Caenorhabditis elegans: one gene and its partners. The gene in region 1 interacts genetically with each later gene. Each region holds a gene or a part of one and is shown in the gene's direction. Other genes may lie near its edges.

What was found.
Region 2: of trr-1 (region 1) and ark-1, changing one enhances a phenotype caused by changing the other (phenotypic enhancement), as found in Caenorhabditis elegans (one large-scale study listed by BioGRID).
Region 3: of trr-1 (region 1) and lin-25, changing one enhances a phenotype caused by changing the other (phenotypic enhancement), as found in Caenorhabditis elegans (one large-scale study listed by BioGRID).

What each region holds. Positions count from the first base shown.
Region 1 is NC_003280.10:11,673,492-11,678,734, reverse strand, and holds the start of trr-1 (Transcription-associated protein 1), read left to right. Parts: upstream 1-2,807; 5' UTR 2,808-2,878; coding exon 2,879-3,016; intron 3,017-3,063; coding exon 3,064-3,849; intron 3,850-3,903; coding exon 3,904-4,202; intron 4,203-4,247; coding exon 4,248-4,371; intron 4,372-4,415; coding exon 4,416-5,243. Other genes in the region: C47D12.2 (Dymeclin), read right to left, coding at 1-116, 167-358, 670-786, 837-1,324, 1,387-1,628, 1,676-1,763, 1,822-2,030, 2,087-2,233 and 1 more.
Region 2 is NC_003282.8:12,627,907-12,633,149, reverse strand, and holds the start of ark-1 (Ack-related non-receptor tyrosine kinase), read left to right. Parts: upstream 1-2,127; 5' UTR 2,128-2,183; coding exon 2,184-2,257; intron 2,258-2,369; coding exon 2,370-2,455; intron 2,456-2,881; coding exon 2,882-3,056; intron 3,057-3,675; coding exon 3,676-3,910; intron 3,911-4,470; coding exon 4,471-4,791; intron 4,792-5,243. UniProt on the Caenorhabditis elegans protein: Probable tyrosine protein kinase which plays a role in vulva development, probably by acting as a negative regulator of the let-23/EGFR and let-60/ras pathway. Involved in the negative regulation of germline development.
Region 3 is NC_003283.11:12,647,283-12,652,525, forward strand, and holds the start of lin-25 (Protein lin-25), read left to right. Parts: upstream 1-2,642; 5' UTR 2,643-2,674; coding exon 2,675-2,707; intron 2,708-2,777; coding exon 2,778-2,892; intron 2,893-2,939; coding exon 2,940-3,022; intron 3,023-3,069; coding exon 3,070-3,179; intron 3,180-3,229; coding exon 3,230-3,317; intron 3,318-5,243. UniProt on the Caenorhabditis elegans protein: Participates in the inductive signaling pathway downstream of let-60 Ras and the RAF/MAP kinase cascade to regulate specification and differentiation of many cell types. Positively regulates the fate of vulval precursor cells.

The sequences.
Region 1 (5,243 bases):
TGGTAGAGAAGGTTGTAGATGAGGTGTGAATTGTGACGGAGTCCTCCACAAAGTGCACTGTTGATGATCTCAAGGAGAGTTCGAATTCCTTCTTCGAGAGCAGTAATGTCGTCATGCTGAAATATTATACTTTTTATTTGGATTTTTGAACAAAATATGAACTTACGAAATTGATCGGCTGTCCATCTGCAACATCATTCTGACTGCTGACTCTCATATGATCCACCATTTTAGCATGCCGTTTTGTTAGAAGATCAAGCAGTGATATGAGTCTTTGGCAAACAATTGGAGCAAGATTTTTGAAGAAAGCTGACATGTTTGCAAGAGCAGCTAAGCAGTTTGTGTGAAGATATCGGTCCTGGAAAAATTTGAGTTTGGTTTAAAAAAAAACAAAATTTTGTATCTTCAGGTAGCAACTGTCGGTTTTTCGCTTTTTCAATTGTTCGATTTTTCGATTTTTAAAAAAGGAGCTTGATATATTGGCCATTATTCTTCTTTTTAGATGAAACTTTTATGTTTGTTCTTATCAATATAAACAAAATTAGATAAAAAATCATATTTTATGGTTAATTTTCTGAACATTTTTTTCGATTTTTCGATTTCCACTGAAAAACGTCAAAAAATCGAAAAAAAAATTGAAAAATGACACCCTTGGTAGCAACAACTAACTCTAGTTTTCAAAGCATTCTTCTGAATTGCTCGAACCAGCACAAGAGTTGTCAAACCTCCGAGAGAGATCTCGCGGACACTGAAATCACTGTCCAGCCAGCCGAGATCCTTGATCATCTGCAAATATATACTTCAATATAATCTTAGCATTTCTAGTGAAAACTCACCGTCTCGTGTATAATCTTGCAGAAAATATCATCTTCACTGAGAATCAAGGCGACAATCAATGCAAGATAAACATGGTGAGAGTTGTTCGATGTCGCGACACCGTCGTGAAGAATTCGAAGAACAGGAACAACTAGATTCTCGAGGTTGATCCGAGACAACACATAGTTCCGGAATCCCGAGTTCGCCTGTAGAAGCATGTAGAGTAGAAGCATCGGAGGTTCCTGGCCAGCGGTAGCACACAATCTTTCGTATAATCCATTATAATCGATTTTGAACGACACAATCTGAGTAGGCAATGTGGATACTTCTTGAGCATTTTGGAAGAGAGCAAGGGTTTCTTTGAATGGATTGGATGAATTGAGAGGTTGATGGCATGAAAGATTGAGGAGAAGCAGGATGCTTAAGTTTCCAAGAGTAAGTGGGGGCTTCTTTTCTTCCTCTGCGGAGTCGATACCAGTTGCCATTTGGACCATTGACCACATTGATGCTTAAAAATCGTGTTTTTTTTTTAATTTAATAAAGAATTAAAAAAGATTTTCAGTGACATACAAGCTAATCCAAAAACAATGCTCTCTTGTGGCTTTTGTACAGTCATGTGATACTCTGAATTGTGGATCAAATAATTGAGAAGAAGAGTTTTAGTGAGCGAAGCTGCGTGTTTCGCACATGATCCATCAATAAAGAATCTGAAGACAATTGAAGTATTCACAATTGATTCATTATATAGTTGAGAGCTCAGGAGAGTTAGGAGACATCGAACTGCTTCGACATGGATTGCCAATGTTGTTTCGCTGAAATTATTTTAATTCAATTTTTTAAAAAATAATTTAAAACTCACTTTACAGAAATATTGATTAAAATCGAAACCAGCTCATACGTGAACTCTTCTGCAGTGTTTTGAAAAACTATCGGGATATATTTTGTCGCTGAAAACGTCAGAATTTGATTATTATTGAATTTTTTTTTTAAATGAAGCTTATTTACCTCCATTATTATTTTCGTTTTCTGATTTCTGTTCGTCATCATCTTCCTCATCCGACGAGGAAGATGTAGACGACGATTCGGTTTCCGTACTCTCATGACTTTTGGCGAAAATCCTCACGAATTCTTTTTCCGTCATACGTTGAGTTAAAAATCTGGCGATGTAACGAAGAATGAGAAGAGCGTTTGATGTTTGCCATAAGTAGATTTTACTGAAATAAGAAAAAGCTTTAATTAAATATAATGATGATTTTTTTTTCCAACTCACTTTTCGCATTGTTCTGATGTTTTTAGTTCTGTGGCTCTGCGAAGGAAAAGTCGAATAAATGCAGCGAAATTTCCTGTTGTTTGTGTATTGTACATTAGACATTGAAGATGATCATCTAAAGCAGATTCCAAAGCGATTCGGGTGTCTCTAAACGATTATAACATTTTTAAAGCTTTTGCCTAATTTTAATCCTTACTCGTCGTCATCATCAAACTTGAGACTGAAAGAGAGAAGTTTGTTCCAAAATGGGTCATAATCGTCGACAGGTTCCAAACCGCTGAGTTTCTTCAGATAAATATTCTCCTGTAAGACCGTTTCCTTGGTTATAACTGATCCCATGTGTCTGAAATTTGTTATTACACTGTTAATAATCATAAAAATAAAAGAAAAAGTCAAGAAAGGGTCAAATATTAATCAGGTCACATCTTTTTTATTCAATAAAATCTCCTCTCTCGTTCGTGGCAATGCACGTGAAATGCGCCAACAACCGCGAGTGCGCCAACACACACACATACGCGTCAGCAGACAATTCGCTCTCGTTTGAAATTTAGTTGTTTCTTTGTTTCTGCTGAAATAATGTCAGTTTTCCGATAATTTCAGCGTTTTCTGACTGATTTTTCTTGTTGCATTCACTTCCTAATAGTTCATTCTACTCCATTCTTCATTTTATAATCTGTTTCCTTCGCAATTTAGTGAATTAAACACGTAAATCTTGTTTCAGATAAATTATTCAAATAGTTGCACAAAGCTCAATAGTTTAGAAGTATCTTCAGTGCTGGTCACTAATACAAAATGGATCCGGCTATGGCTTCTCCAGGCTATCGGTCTGTGCAGTCCGATCGGAGTAATCACCTAACAGAGCTGGAAACGAGAATTCAAAATCTTGCCGATAATTCACAAAGAGATGATGTCAAATTGAAAATGTTACAAGTTAGTTTCAATAATTCGTGTTAAGTAATCAATTTGTTCGGTTGCAGGAGATTTGGAGCACAATCGAAAATCATTTCACACTAAGTTCGCACGAGAAAGTCGTGGAGAGGCTCATTCTCTCGTTCCTACAAGTTTTCTGCAACACAAGTCCACAGTTCATTGCTGAAAACAATACACAACAGCTTCGAAAGTTAATGCTTGAAATCATTCTTCGACTTTCGAACGTAGAAGCCATGAAACATCATAGCAAAGAAATTATCAAGCAGATGATGAGGCTAATCACCGTGGAAAATGAGGAGAATGCCAATTTGGCTATCAAAATTGTCACCGATCAAGGGAGAAGTACCGGCAAAATGCAATATTGCGGAGAGGTTTCACAGATAATGGTCTCCTTCAAAACAATGGTCATTGATCTGACGGCGAGTGGTCGAGCTGGTGATATGTTCAACATAAAAGAGCATAAAGCTCCACCGTCAACTAGCTCCGACGAGCAAGTCATCACTGAATATTTGAAGACTTGCTACTATCAACAAACGGTTCTTCTCAACGGAACGGAAGGAAAACCGCCATTAAAATACAATATGATTCCATCAGCTCATCAGTCAACGAAGGTGCTCCTGGAGGTTCCGTATCTCGTGATTTTCTTCTATCAACATTTCAAAACAGCGATCCAAACCGAAGCGCTTGATTTCATGAGGCTTGGTCTTGATTTTCTAAATGTCAGAGTTCCAGACGAGGATAAACTCAAAACAAATCAAATAATAACCGATGATTTTGTCAGTGCACAGTCCCGATTCCTGTCATTCGTCAACATTATGGCTAAGATTCCAGCGGTAAGTTTCGTTTTTTCAAGTTTTTTTTCTGTAATCCTGATTTTTATTTTTCAGTTTATGGATCTTATCATGCAAAATGGACCGCTTCTAGTGTCGGGAACAATGCAGATGCTCGAGCGGTGCCCGGCTGATCTGATAAGTGTCCGACGAGAAGTTCTGATGGCTTTGAAGTATTTCACATCTGGAGAAATGAAGTCGAAATTCTTTCCAATGCTACCTCGACTCATCGCTGAGGAGGTTGTTCTGGGAACAGGATTCACTGCGATTGAGCATTTGCGAGTTTTCATGTATCAAATGCTAGCAGATCTGTTGCATCACATGCGAAATTCTATAGACTATGAAATGATCACACAGTAAGTTTGAATAAGACTTTCTGATGAAAAATGTTGAAATTTCAGCGTGATTTTCGTATTCTGTCGCACTCTTCACGATCCTAACAACTCTTCTCAAGTCCAGATTATGTCTGCTCGGCTGCTCAACTCACTGGCCGAATCTCTGTGCAAAATGGATTCACATGATACCGTAAGACTTATTCTATCAATAATCGTATCTCACTTCGAAATAAGTTTCAGACTCGTGATCTGCTCATTGAAATCCTGGAGTCGCACGTGGCCAAGCTCAAAACTCTTGCAGTCTATCACATGCCTATTCTCTTCCAACAATACGGAACCGAAATAGACTACGAATACAAAAGTTATGAGAGAGACGCCGAGAAACCTGGAATGAATATCCCAAAGGACACTATACGAGGAGTACCGAAACGAAGAATCCGTCGGCTCTCCATTGATTCAGTTGAAGAGCTGGAATTCCTGGCATCAGAACCATCCACGTCGGAAGATGCAGATGAGAGTGGTGGAGATCCGAACAAGCTTCCTCCGCCAACAAAAGAGGGAAAGAAAACGTCTCCCGAAGCGATTTTAACCGCCATGTCAACGATGACACCTCCTCCATTGGCAATTGTTGAAGCTCGAAATCTTGTGAAGTATATAATGCATACGTGTAAATTCGTGACAGGACAATTGAGAATCGCCCGGCCATCACAGGATATGTATCATTGTTCGAAGGAGCGAGATTTATTCGAACGTCTTCTACGATATGGTGTAATGTGTATGGATGTATTCGTGCTTCCAACAACTCGAAATCAACCACAAATGCATTCTTCAATGCGGACAAAAGATGAGAAAGATGCTCTGGAGTCGTTGGCAAACGTTTTTACAACAATCGACCATGCGATATTCCGGGAAATCTTCGAAAAGTATATGGATTTCTTGATTGAAAGAATTTACAATCGGAACTATCCATTGCAATTGATGGTGAACACCTTCTTGGTTCGAAATGAAGTGCCATTCTTCGCATCTACGATGCTTTCATTCTTGATGTCTCGAATGAAATTG
Region 2 (5,243 bases), on another chromosome or scaffold:
TTTAAAAGTGTTCTACATCAAGTTAACCATGGCAATATAAATTTTAATGATGGTTTTTAACAACAAAAAATGAAAGAAAAGATACCGACAGACACCTATAAATACACTGAACTTTAGAACTTATCAATGAAAAAAAAACTTGGAAATGTGCTATGTAGACACCATGGTGCATCAATTGAAAAAAAAAACTGAAAATTGGGAAAAATTGAATTTTCATATAAAAAAGAATTAAAAAAAAACATATCCTGGCTTCGCAGTGTTACGCTATTCGAAATTTTGTGTGCAGTTTTTTCTGAAATTTTCTTTTCAGTATTTCATCTATGATTTTTTTTAGAAAAATGATTTTTCAAAACTTTTCTTTCATCTCGTGGCAAGACCTATCCGAATGAATTCGTGCGCCTTTTTAAAACCTTGCAAAAAATTCAAAAACTTTAGAATCTCCGTAACAATAAAGCAAAAGAAACTTTACATTCATTAGCTAATTGTATCTAACCGTCTGCGCCTCATGTTCGCTTGAAGTCATACACTATTTCAAAGTGTACTTCAACTACAACCACCAGTACTACTATTACAAGATATTCGCCCTTTTTTCTTTTTTTTTCTTTCTTCTCCATGTGTTTCCACATCCAATTTGATTGATGGTCTTTCCCGTTTTCTCCTTCATTTTTTCGGAATGGAGCTCCTTTTTTTATTCGATTGTTCTCGGGATATATGCAATATTAGAGTTTTTCTTTGTTTTTTACGTTTCCATGTAGTATGCTTTAATCCTTTCGCATTTTTCTGAAAATATTGCTTAAAGGCGCACGTAATTTTCCGGATGGGTCTCGCCGCAAAAAAAACAATGGGTAATAAATATCACTTATTGAAGCACTTTTGGAGCACATCCATATTTTAAAAATCAATGTATGTTGTGTTATTATCACAATTTTAAGTTTAATTAATTAAAGAAAAAAATTGAATCTACCAAAAACTTTATTCGCCGCGAGACCCATCTGGCTAAATCCGTGCGCCTTCGACTACAGTTTTCAGAAAATTGAGAAGTTACGATATTGTTTAATGAACCATGCGGCGATAAATTCTTTTCGAAATTTTTTTTCAACTTCCCGTCTTTCTAGTTTAATTCGAATTCAGAATAGTATCAGTCTAGTTAATGGTTTTTGCGGGTTTTTTATTTGAAAGCATTTTAGAAAATTTTATGGTAGCGCTTTCCGATTTTTATATTTTTTATTTATTTTCATGATTATCATTCGAAATGCTGAGAATACTAAATAGCAGAAATTGCAAGAAAATTTTCAAAGAAAAATCTAAATTTGTACCATACACGTTTGTTTCTCGTGGCGAGACCCAGTCGGAGAATTGCGTGCGCCTTTAAAAACATAAAATACGATACTTTTTCGATACATTTTTTTAACAGAAAAATGTGAATCGTCAATATATTTACATTCCGCAGTATTTCGCTGTAAATGCCTTAAATATTTTCTATTTTTTTTTAATTTCTATTTTCGAAAAATACTGAATTCTCCTATTGCAACAAACTTCCATATTTAGTAAGTTTTCAACACTACATAAATGTGTATTGGAAATGAATTGAAAAATAAAGGGAAGCACGCACAAACACGAATTTGTCGAAATAAATGAATTTTTGCCCGGTTCATTGCACGCAATTCTAAACATGCAGAGAGTGGAAGTGAGAGTGACCAAAAGTTTTTTTTGTTCAATGTTCCTGGGTCTCCTCTCTTTGCATGTAGAAATGTATATCCAATATCTTTTTTTGAACATCTTTTTTCCAAAGAAATGTTTCATTGATTTTTGTTGAAACTCAAATTTTTTAATTTTTTTGAAATTGATTTTTCAGTGAAAAATTGCTCCATTTTCTTAATTATTTATTAGTTTTCAAAAAAACTAGCAATTTCAGAAGTATCAAACACTGTACTCCTTAAAGGCGCATAGCATAAACTTTAAAATACGTGAAATCGTTTCGAGAACTGGCGGGTACGGTATTTGCTATTTTAAACTGTTTTTTCTTCATTTTCTGAACACGTGTCAACACATCCTCCCACGCCTTTCAATTCTGTTATTTTTCCGTTTAAATTGTGTAAAATTGACTGTAAATTCTAAAAATTGCAGGCAAAACAAACGTCAACCGGGGGTAGAAACAACGAAAAAAGAAAAATATTCGAAGAATGCGAGAGGAGCCGACGGCGGGTACCGCTGATGCGACGCTCAATAAACTGCTTCAAGCAGCCGATTTATCAGGGTAAGAGCTGGAAAATTAAGATTATTTGCTGAAAAATGGGGTTTTCAGAAGAAAAATTAACAATTTCTGCGTAAAAACCGAGATTCAAGTAATTAAAAAATAAAATTTTCAGCTACGAATCAGATCTCCGTCGAAAACTAAAACTACGAAATGCTGCCGATTTACAATATGTCGAAGAAGTCGATTTGTTGTCTGTTGGTGAGGATTTTTTTTTTAATCTCAATGAATAATTATTTTAAAAATACCGAAAAAATCACAGTTTTGTTAGTTTTCCACTCAAAAATAGAACAATAATCTCTGAAAAAAAACCAGAATAACTTCTTTAAAATTCTAAAAATAATATTCGACAAAAAATAATTAAATTTGTTTTGTTTTTTTTTTCTACTTTCTGCCTCTAAATACCATCAATATTTACACAACGATTCAATCGAAACAAGTGTTTATTTTTCTCATTTTTCAATCGTATGACTGCTCATTTTGTGGCCATTTATTTTAGTTTTCTTTTTTTTAATTTGAGATTTTTTAAAATTAGTTTATTTTTCTCTGAAATTAAATTAAAAATTGATCGGAAATTAAGAATTATATTTCAGAAAAAAATCCGAAAAATAAACTTACATTTTTCAGGAATGAGCCGCCCGGAGCAAAAGCGCCTCCGAAAAGAATATACAAAAATGTTTCCGTCTGGAATTTTTGGAAAAGTGAAAAAAGCATTCAAAAGGGCGGAAAGTTTGGATCGAAAAACTTCGAATTCAGTTGCAAATCAAGATGATAATGATCATCATGTAATTCCAATTGAAAAGTGAGCATTTCTGGGAAAAACGTGGAGCAAAATGGAAAATTAAAAAAAATTTTTTTAAAAACTCCAGAAAAAAAGATGTTTTGGCAAAAGATCATTTTTTCAGAATGAAAAATTTGAAAAAATCGAAAGAAAATTAATTTTAAAAGTATGGTATTTTCAGAAAAAAAAACAAAAGAAATAATTTTTTTTTTTCGAAGATTAAAAAATAAAAAATTTTTAGCAAATTTTATTCCTCTTCGCAAGAATAACCACCACATAAAAATATAAGTTATCTACAAAAAAGTGAAGAAAAATATCTAAAATTTAAAAAATCTGATTTTCGTTATTGAAAATCAGAAAAATCGGAAATTTCCAAGCAAATTTGCATTTTATTTATTTTTAGGTTTTAAATTTTAATTCAAGTTTCCTAGAAAACAAACTATTTATTTAAAAATTCCTTGTTTTCAGAAAAAAGTACAGAGGTTTCGACTTTCCGAGATTTTGCAAAATCGAAGAAAACTGTGTTTGCAAATTTGACATTACATCATATTATTTTTTCAACATTGAAAAATCTCTTTTAAAATTGCTCGATTTAATTTTTCGAGAAAATTAATTGAAAACTAAAGTTACAATTTTCCAGAATAACGCTTTGCAAAGAGTTGGGACAAGGAGAATTCGGGTCAGTTTGGCAAGCAGGATGGAAGAATTCAGCAGGAAGTGACGTCATTCAAGTAGCCGTAAAATGTGTTGGATCTGATAAACTACTTGCCACGTCATCATCATTTTTACAAGAAGCTGCAATTATGACACGAATGAGACATGAACATGTTGTTAGACTATATGGAGTTGTTCTTGATACGAAAAAAATTATGTTGGTAAGGATTTAAAAATTAAAATCTAAGCCGGAACAAATCTGGTAATATTAGAATTTTTTGTATATTCAAATTTTTTGTCATAAAACCGAAAAAAAATTTCAAAAAACAATGGAAAAAATATCGTAAAATAGAGTTTTAATGCAATTTTCGATTTTGCTAGAAAAACCCAGAATAAATATTAGATTCTCGTATGCCTAAACGAAGACAAACAAAGACCATTTTTACAGAAAAAAAAAATACCGAAAATTATTTTAAAAATTGAAATTTTTTATGCGACTTTTGAAATTAAAATTAGTATTTAAAAATTGTTTTTAATAAGAAATCTCTATAGAACCCTAGAGCTTGATTTTTTGCATTTTTCATCAAAAAAAGGAAAAAAAAACGGAAAAAATGGTCCAGAACGATGTATTCTAGCCTGAAACTGTCAAACTCACAGCAAAAATTGCGCACTTCTCCTCCTCGTGAGAAAGTTTTAATGATAAAAAATCATAAATTTTCGAAAAAAATTGAACATTTCAGAATTATCTAAAAGTTCAAAAATTATAACAAAAAATTTGCAGGTCTCGGAGCTCGCAACATGTGGATCTTTGCTGGAATGCCTTCACAAACCGGCTCTCCGTGATAGTTTTCCAGTTCATGTTTTATGTGATTATGCTGAACAAATTGCAATGGGAATGTCATATCTTGAATTACAAAGACTCATTCATCGAGATCTTGCCGCAAGAAATGTGCTCGTTTTCTCACCGAAACTTGTGAAAATATCAGATTTTGGACTATCGAGATCTCTTGGAATTGGTGAAGATTATTATCGAAGTGAATTTACACCGAATCTTAAGCTTCCTATTGCTTGGTGTGCACCGGAGTGTATTAATTTTTTAAAGGTATTGCAAAAAAACATTTGCTGAAATTTACCAAATTTTAATTTTTCCCCAATTTTGAACAATTATTCAATTTTCAGACCCCTTTTTGTTCGAAAATTTCACAAAATTTCGGCCTAAACTCCGATAATTCGCAAAAATAAATATTAAAAACGAAGAAACAAAAAATTCCAATAAAATTTTCTTTTTTTATTTCAAATATTACATTTCAAACAAAATTTTAAAAAAATGTATTTTTGAAAAGTTTTATTTTAAAAAAATATTTAAAATTGAAATGTTATAAGAATTTTTAAATTCATACAAAAACCGTTTTTATAATATTTCTAAAAATCTATAAAACATAATTCTTTAACATTTTTAAATTAATTTTTGAAAAGTTCTGAATTTTTAAAATTTTCCGAAAATTAATAAAATATATATTTCAAAATTTCCGAAAATTTAAAAATTCGGATTTT
Region 3 (5,243 bases), on another chromosome or scaffold:
GGCTCTATAACAAATAAATATTTTAATTGTCTCAACTTAAAAAAACACACCACAAAAGCATCTTCTCTCAAAACTTGATTATATTCTGATAGTGAAGTAATAAAAAGAATTGCATGGGAATCGTCTAACACATGACCGCTCAGCTAATTGTGCGTTGGGGAAACACAGCCGAGTTCAAACCAGAGCGTCTAGAGAGAGGAGGCGAAGGTCAAGTGCCGAGCGAGGAAGGATAAAGATAAGCGATGTAACGAGTAACACATTGTATGACTATAAGACTCCTTCATTAATAAACAATTAAGACAATCAATTAGCGGCTGTGGATTGTACCATCAAGTCCAGCGGATGATGAGTGAACTGTTCATGTATTGTTGTTGTCAATCGGTCAATCAACTAGGCAATTGGGTCAGAGGCTGTGCTCTGATCCCAATGCCCGTGATTGCCGATGCAATCAATACTTCGGAGAGAAAACAACTAAATATCAATTAATAAAACGGAAAAGGTAAAGGGGACGACCGCTCAGAAGGAGCGGTTGATAATCGAATGAATGAAACTATTTAGGCCAGCCAATTAGGATGAGCAAGCTGCGCCGCGCCGCGGTCGGCGGCGCGTGCGCGTGGCGAGACCCAGCCGGTTGGCGGCAAATTTGAATGGGAAGGCGCTTAGAAAGATGCTAATCGGGAGAGAATTGCGAGAATAAAGGGAGCATAAAGGTTTTAAGCTACGGCGAACACGATGGAAATGTGTTCGTCGCGCTCAAAGAACTTTGTAATTGAGAGATGGTGGCATAGCCCAGCCCATCTCACAACACATGGGTAATTTTTCGACGTTGAGCACGTTGTCCCCCAATGTCGAAAAAAATGAATCTGTAAATAATTGTTTCCTTCCAAAAACCACAACAAACTGAACAAAGTGTTACTTGAAAGTCAAATGTTTTATATTTGCTTCATATTGTGCAATTCCCAAGGTTGGGACTCTGGTTTTCAATATATCTTCTCCGGTTGGCAAGTATTCTTTTCCAATAACTCTTGCAAGGTTTTCAATGAAACTGGAAATAATAATAATTAGACTGAATAAAACCCAACGTTTAACTTGCTGAATTGTTGAGTCTTCAATATTATAAACAGTTTTATTCCTCAACATCATGGCAACTGTTTCATCTTTTATGTACATCTGGATAGACTTTATAATGTCTTTGCACAAAACATTTTCAGTCTCTCCAGTTTTATTGAACTGTTTCGTAAATATTCGGATTTGATTTAGGCATTCCTATAATGGAAATTAGTTTTGAAACATTTACCGTATTTCCTCTATTAGTTTTGCACCCCTTTGCTCAACTTTCACAGCTCATATCTCAGTAGTCGTTTGTTTTATAAAAAAGTTGTCAACTGATAAAATTTTTGCAAGATGTTTTCTAACGTTTGTAGTTTGTTAATTATTTATATGCTTAAAACAAAACGAGATATGAGTTGTCAAAGTTGAGCAAAGGGGTGCAAAACTAATAGAGGAAATACGGTAATTACTTACAATTGAAGATGGATTTTCGTAAATTAATTGTCTCCACATAATTGCCCAGTGTATCTCATCAATACCTTCCAAGATATTTATATAAATTCCATGTTTTAGAGCTCTTTTTTCTTCAACACTGTATCCTCCACAATGAAGAATTCTCAAAATTTCAATATTACAAACTACCGATAATATATTATCTAATTATTTTGAAAATCAGCTGAGTAGGTGATAATTTTTGGAAGCAACTGAAAAAATGTAGTTTTCATTGAATTTACCTTACTTGCTTGACTATTGTACTTTTTCCTGACTCTCCCGGACCTAAATATAATAAAGGTTACATTTTGATTATGTTTTTTTTTTTAATCAGGTACCTATGATAAGAAGCTTTAAAGCCTTCTTCTTACGTTCCTCGAGTATTTGTGTTTCGATTTTCAAGTTTTCATCTATCTTCAAAAATATATTTTCACTCAAAGTTTTACTTAACCTCCACCTGTTTCTTAAGTTGCTCTCTGCCGAGAACATGATTTTTGGCCGATGAAGAAAATGATGCACCCAGCTTTGAAAGGCTGAAAGTTTTGCCTAGTTTTTTTTTACAATAGTGGCTTTGGGTCTGATAAAAACACTAGTGAAAATTACGAATGAAATAATTTGAGACATGCTCAAGATATTGAAAGTTGTTATTTCCAAGTTTATATATAAACTTAAACTATAGTTTGAGTGCAAAGCACATTTTAGAAAATGTAATGTTTCCATGGTAACTTATAAACAAGTAATTAAAACAAGCTTAAAGTTTTTTTTTGAAAATGAAAAGTGAATGAAGCTGAATTAAATCGTCTTAAGAGATTGTTGGGGTGGCAGTTTGATTATTACATCTGAAAATTGTGTAGAATCATTGAAAATAAATGCCGTCCACGCCCAATTTTTCATTGACTCTGAGAAGTGAAGGAAGACATCCCTCCTATGTCAGAAAATGTACAATGGAAGAGGAATGCATCGTACCTAGTCCCCCAAGTAGTGGGGGACAATAAACACTCGGCCACCTCGCTCTATTGCGTGTCTACGTCTCACATCCATTTATACTATTGCACCGAATATTGGGTTAATGTCGGTGTTTGAATATATTTTGGTTACAGTTTAAATGCTTCAAATTTAAATCAATTAAATCATGAATAGTATCAAAATTGATAGTTCAACAAAAGTGAGTTTTTTTTTAAATAAATTTTTATTTTAATTTCAACAAACTTATTTTGTATTTAATTTTTTTTTAGATAGTTATTGAATATATTGACAAACTCCGCAATTGCTCAAATGAAAAACGACAAAAAGTATCATCAGTCATTCGTCCAGTTGACTTTCCCGGTATCTCAACTCAGCAGCTTTGTGGTTTGTTGCAATTCTTTTTTGTAATTGTATTAATATATTTTATTCAGATATTTTGATTCGGTTTGCTTATAATGGAACATATATCGATGATGTTTTCCGGGACCATCTTCTCAAACTTGTCGTAGATAAGGTACTCTGTAGTTCTTTGTTTTATTCCAAAAAATTATAAATTTACAGTCAATCACCTGGAATCAAGTCATCCACAGTGTGATAAATACAAAAACAGATAGAATTTATTCGAAATGTTTGCAATGCGAATTGATCCGGGAAATGGTCAACTATGTACAGTGAGTTGGCATTTTTAATTGAAAAATTTTGCCAAGTTTATTAATTTCAGAATCAAGTCATTTTCTGATAAATTGCATGCAGATGAGCTTATTTCGATTATGAAGCCGACTGTTTTCTTCCTCGCGCAACTGATACAAGTAAGATTTTTAGTATTTTTAACGAGCGATAAATGTTGTTTAAAGTTAAAAGCTTACATGTTGAAGGTTACCAAAATATATGTTCAAAATTGGCAAATGCTCTTTTACTACCTCATCTTTTACTACGTTGCTCTTTTACTACGGTTTACTCTTTTACTACGGCCGTATTTTTTACTACATTTTCCAATTTCGATTTTTTACTACGAAATGTATCTTTTACTACGGCCGTTTTTTTTACTACGGTTTCCGAATTTGATTTTTTACTACGATTCGTATCTTTTACTACGATTAACGATTTTTTACTACCTAATGAAAAAAAGAATATCAAAAGTTGGAATTTGAAAGTTACCTTGTAGCAGATTTTAGGTATAATTACAATTTCACTCTGAAATCAACATGAAAGTTTCATAGCTGTGTTCTTTTTCCAACTTTTGAAATATACTACTGTCTGAGCGGTTTTTAACTGAATCCGACGATATCAGAACGGGAAAATGAAATTTATGAAAATTTTCCAAACAAAACTATTTTGAAACCTTATTAGGCACTGATCAGTTATTGTAGAAAAATTCTCAATCTGTCGTTTTTGAAAACATTCCTGTCAACTTTGTGATTTGGCATAATAATAAGAAACTCGACAAGTAGGGCTCTATATACCCACATATCTTTTCGGACAGAGGGAATGCGAAAAATTAATCAATCGCAAACTTGTTAAGCTTAAGATAAGGAACACTTTTCCCGTGCAAACTATTTGAAAAAAAATCTGAATGGATCCAGATTCGAACCAGCAATGACTCTACTGAAGAGCGCGCGCTTTACCACTTCTCCAAACAGGCGAGTGGCGGCCGCGGTTCCAAGGAATATGTGAAACCAACCGAGCTGTACGAAGTAAGAAGCTTCCATTACTTTTTCAGATATTTAGTTCTGAAAACTTTGTCAACTCTCCTTATCAACAACTAAATGGTCCTTTTTGTAGTTATTTCTACTGGCAAAAAAGAGTGTGCCTGTAAATAATATCCTGCGTATAAACGTTGTTGTCCAGTGAAAACCTTCCCTTGACTTGAAATTTCTAGAAAATTGTACATGCATGTTGATACGAGATACAGAAATGAAACATTTGAAATTAAATTTTGGGCCTAAAATGTTTTTTCTCAAAAACCACTACAGTTCTTATTTTTCCAAGAGTGTATATAAAAAGTTTATTTTTTAAAATAATTTTTCGTATCAAAATCCCATTTTCCGGCTTCAAACGTAACGTTTTCGTCGTTTTCGTTATTGGCAAATCGAATTCGATCGAAATTGAAAAAATTCCGGAGTACGGTACATGTCGGTGTTTGCGTACTTTTGCGTACCGTGCATTTTATTCGACGACACTTCATATTTTTAAAAAGCAAAATTGACAAAAAAGTGCGTTTGAAACCCAAAAACAGGACATTCCATGCGAAAAATAATTTCGAAAAAATTCAGATTGCATTTATTACTGGAAAAAAACAAGATTGGGGCCGTTTTTCAGAAACAAATTTTGGGCCAATTTTTTTTTGAAAATAGCTTATTCGATGAATCACAGAAGTTCCCGAGCTGCTATTAAGTGGAATTTGTAGAATGTTTAAAAATACACTCAAAAAAAGTAGTTTTCAAGATAAATTTCAAGTCAAGCGAAGGTTTTCACTGGACAACAACGTTTATACGCAGGATATTATTTACAGGCACACTCTTTTTTTCCAGTAGAAATAACTACAAAAAGGACCATTTAGTTGTTGATAAGGAGAGTTGACAAAGTTTTCAGAACTAAATATCTGAAAAAGTAATGGAAGCTTCTTACTTCGTACAGCTCGGTTGGTTTCACATATTCCTTGGAACCGCGGCCGCCACTTGCCTGTTTGGAGAAGTGGTAAAGCGCGCGCTCTTCAGTAGAGTCATTGCTGGTTC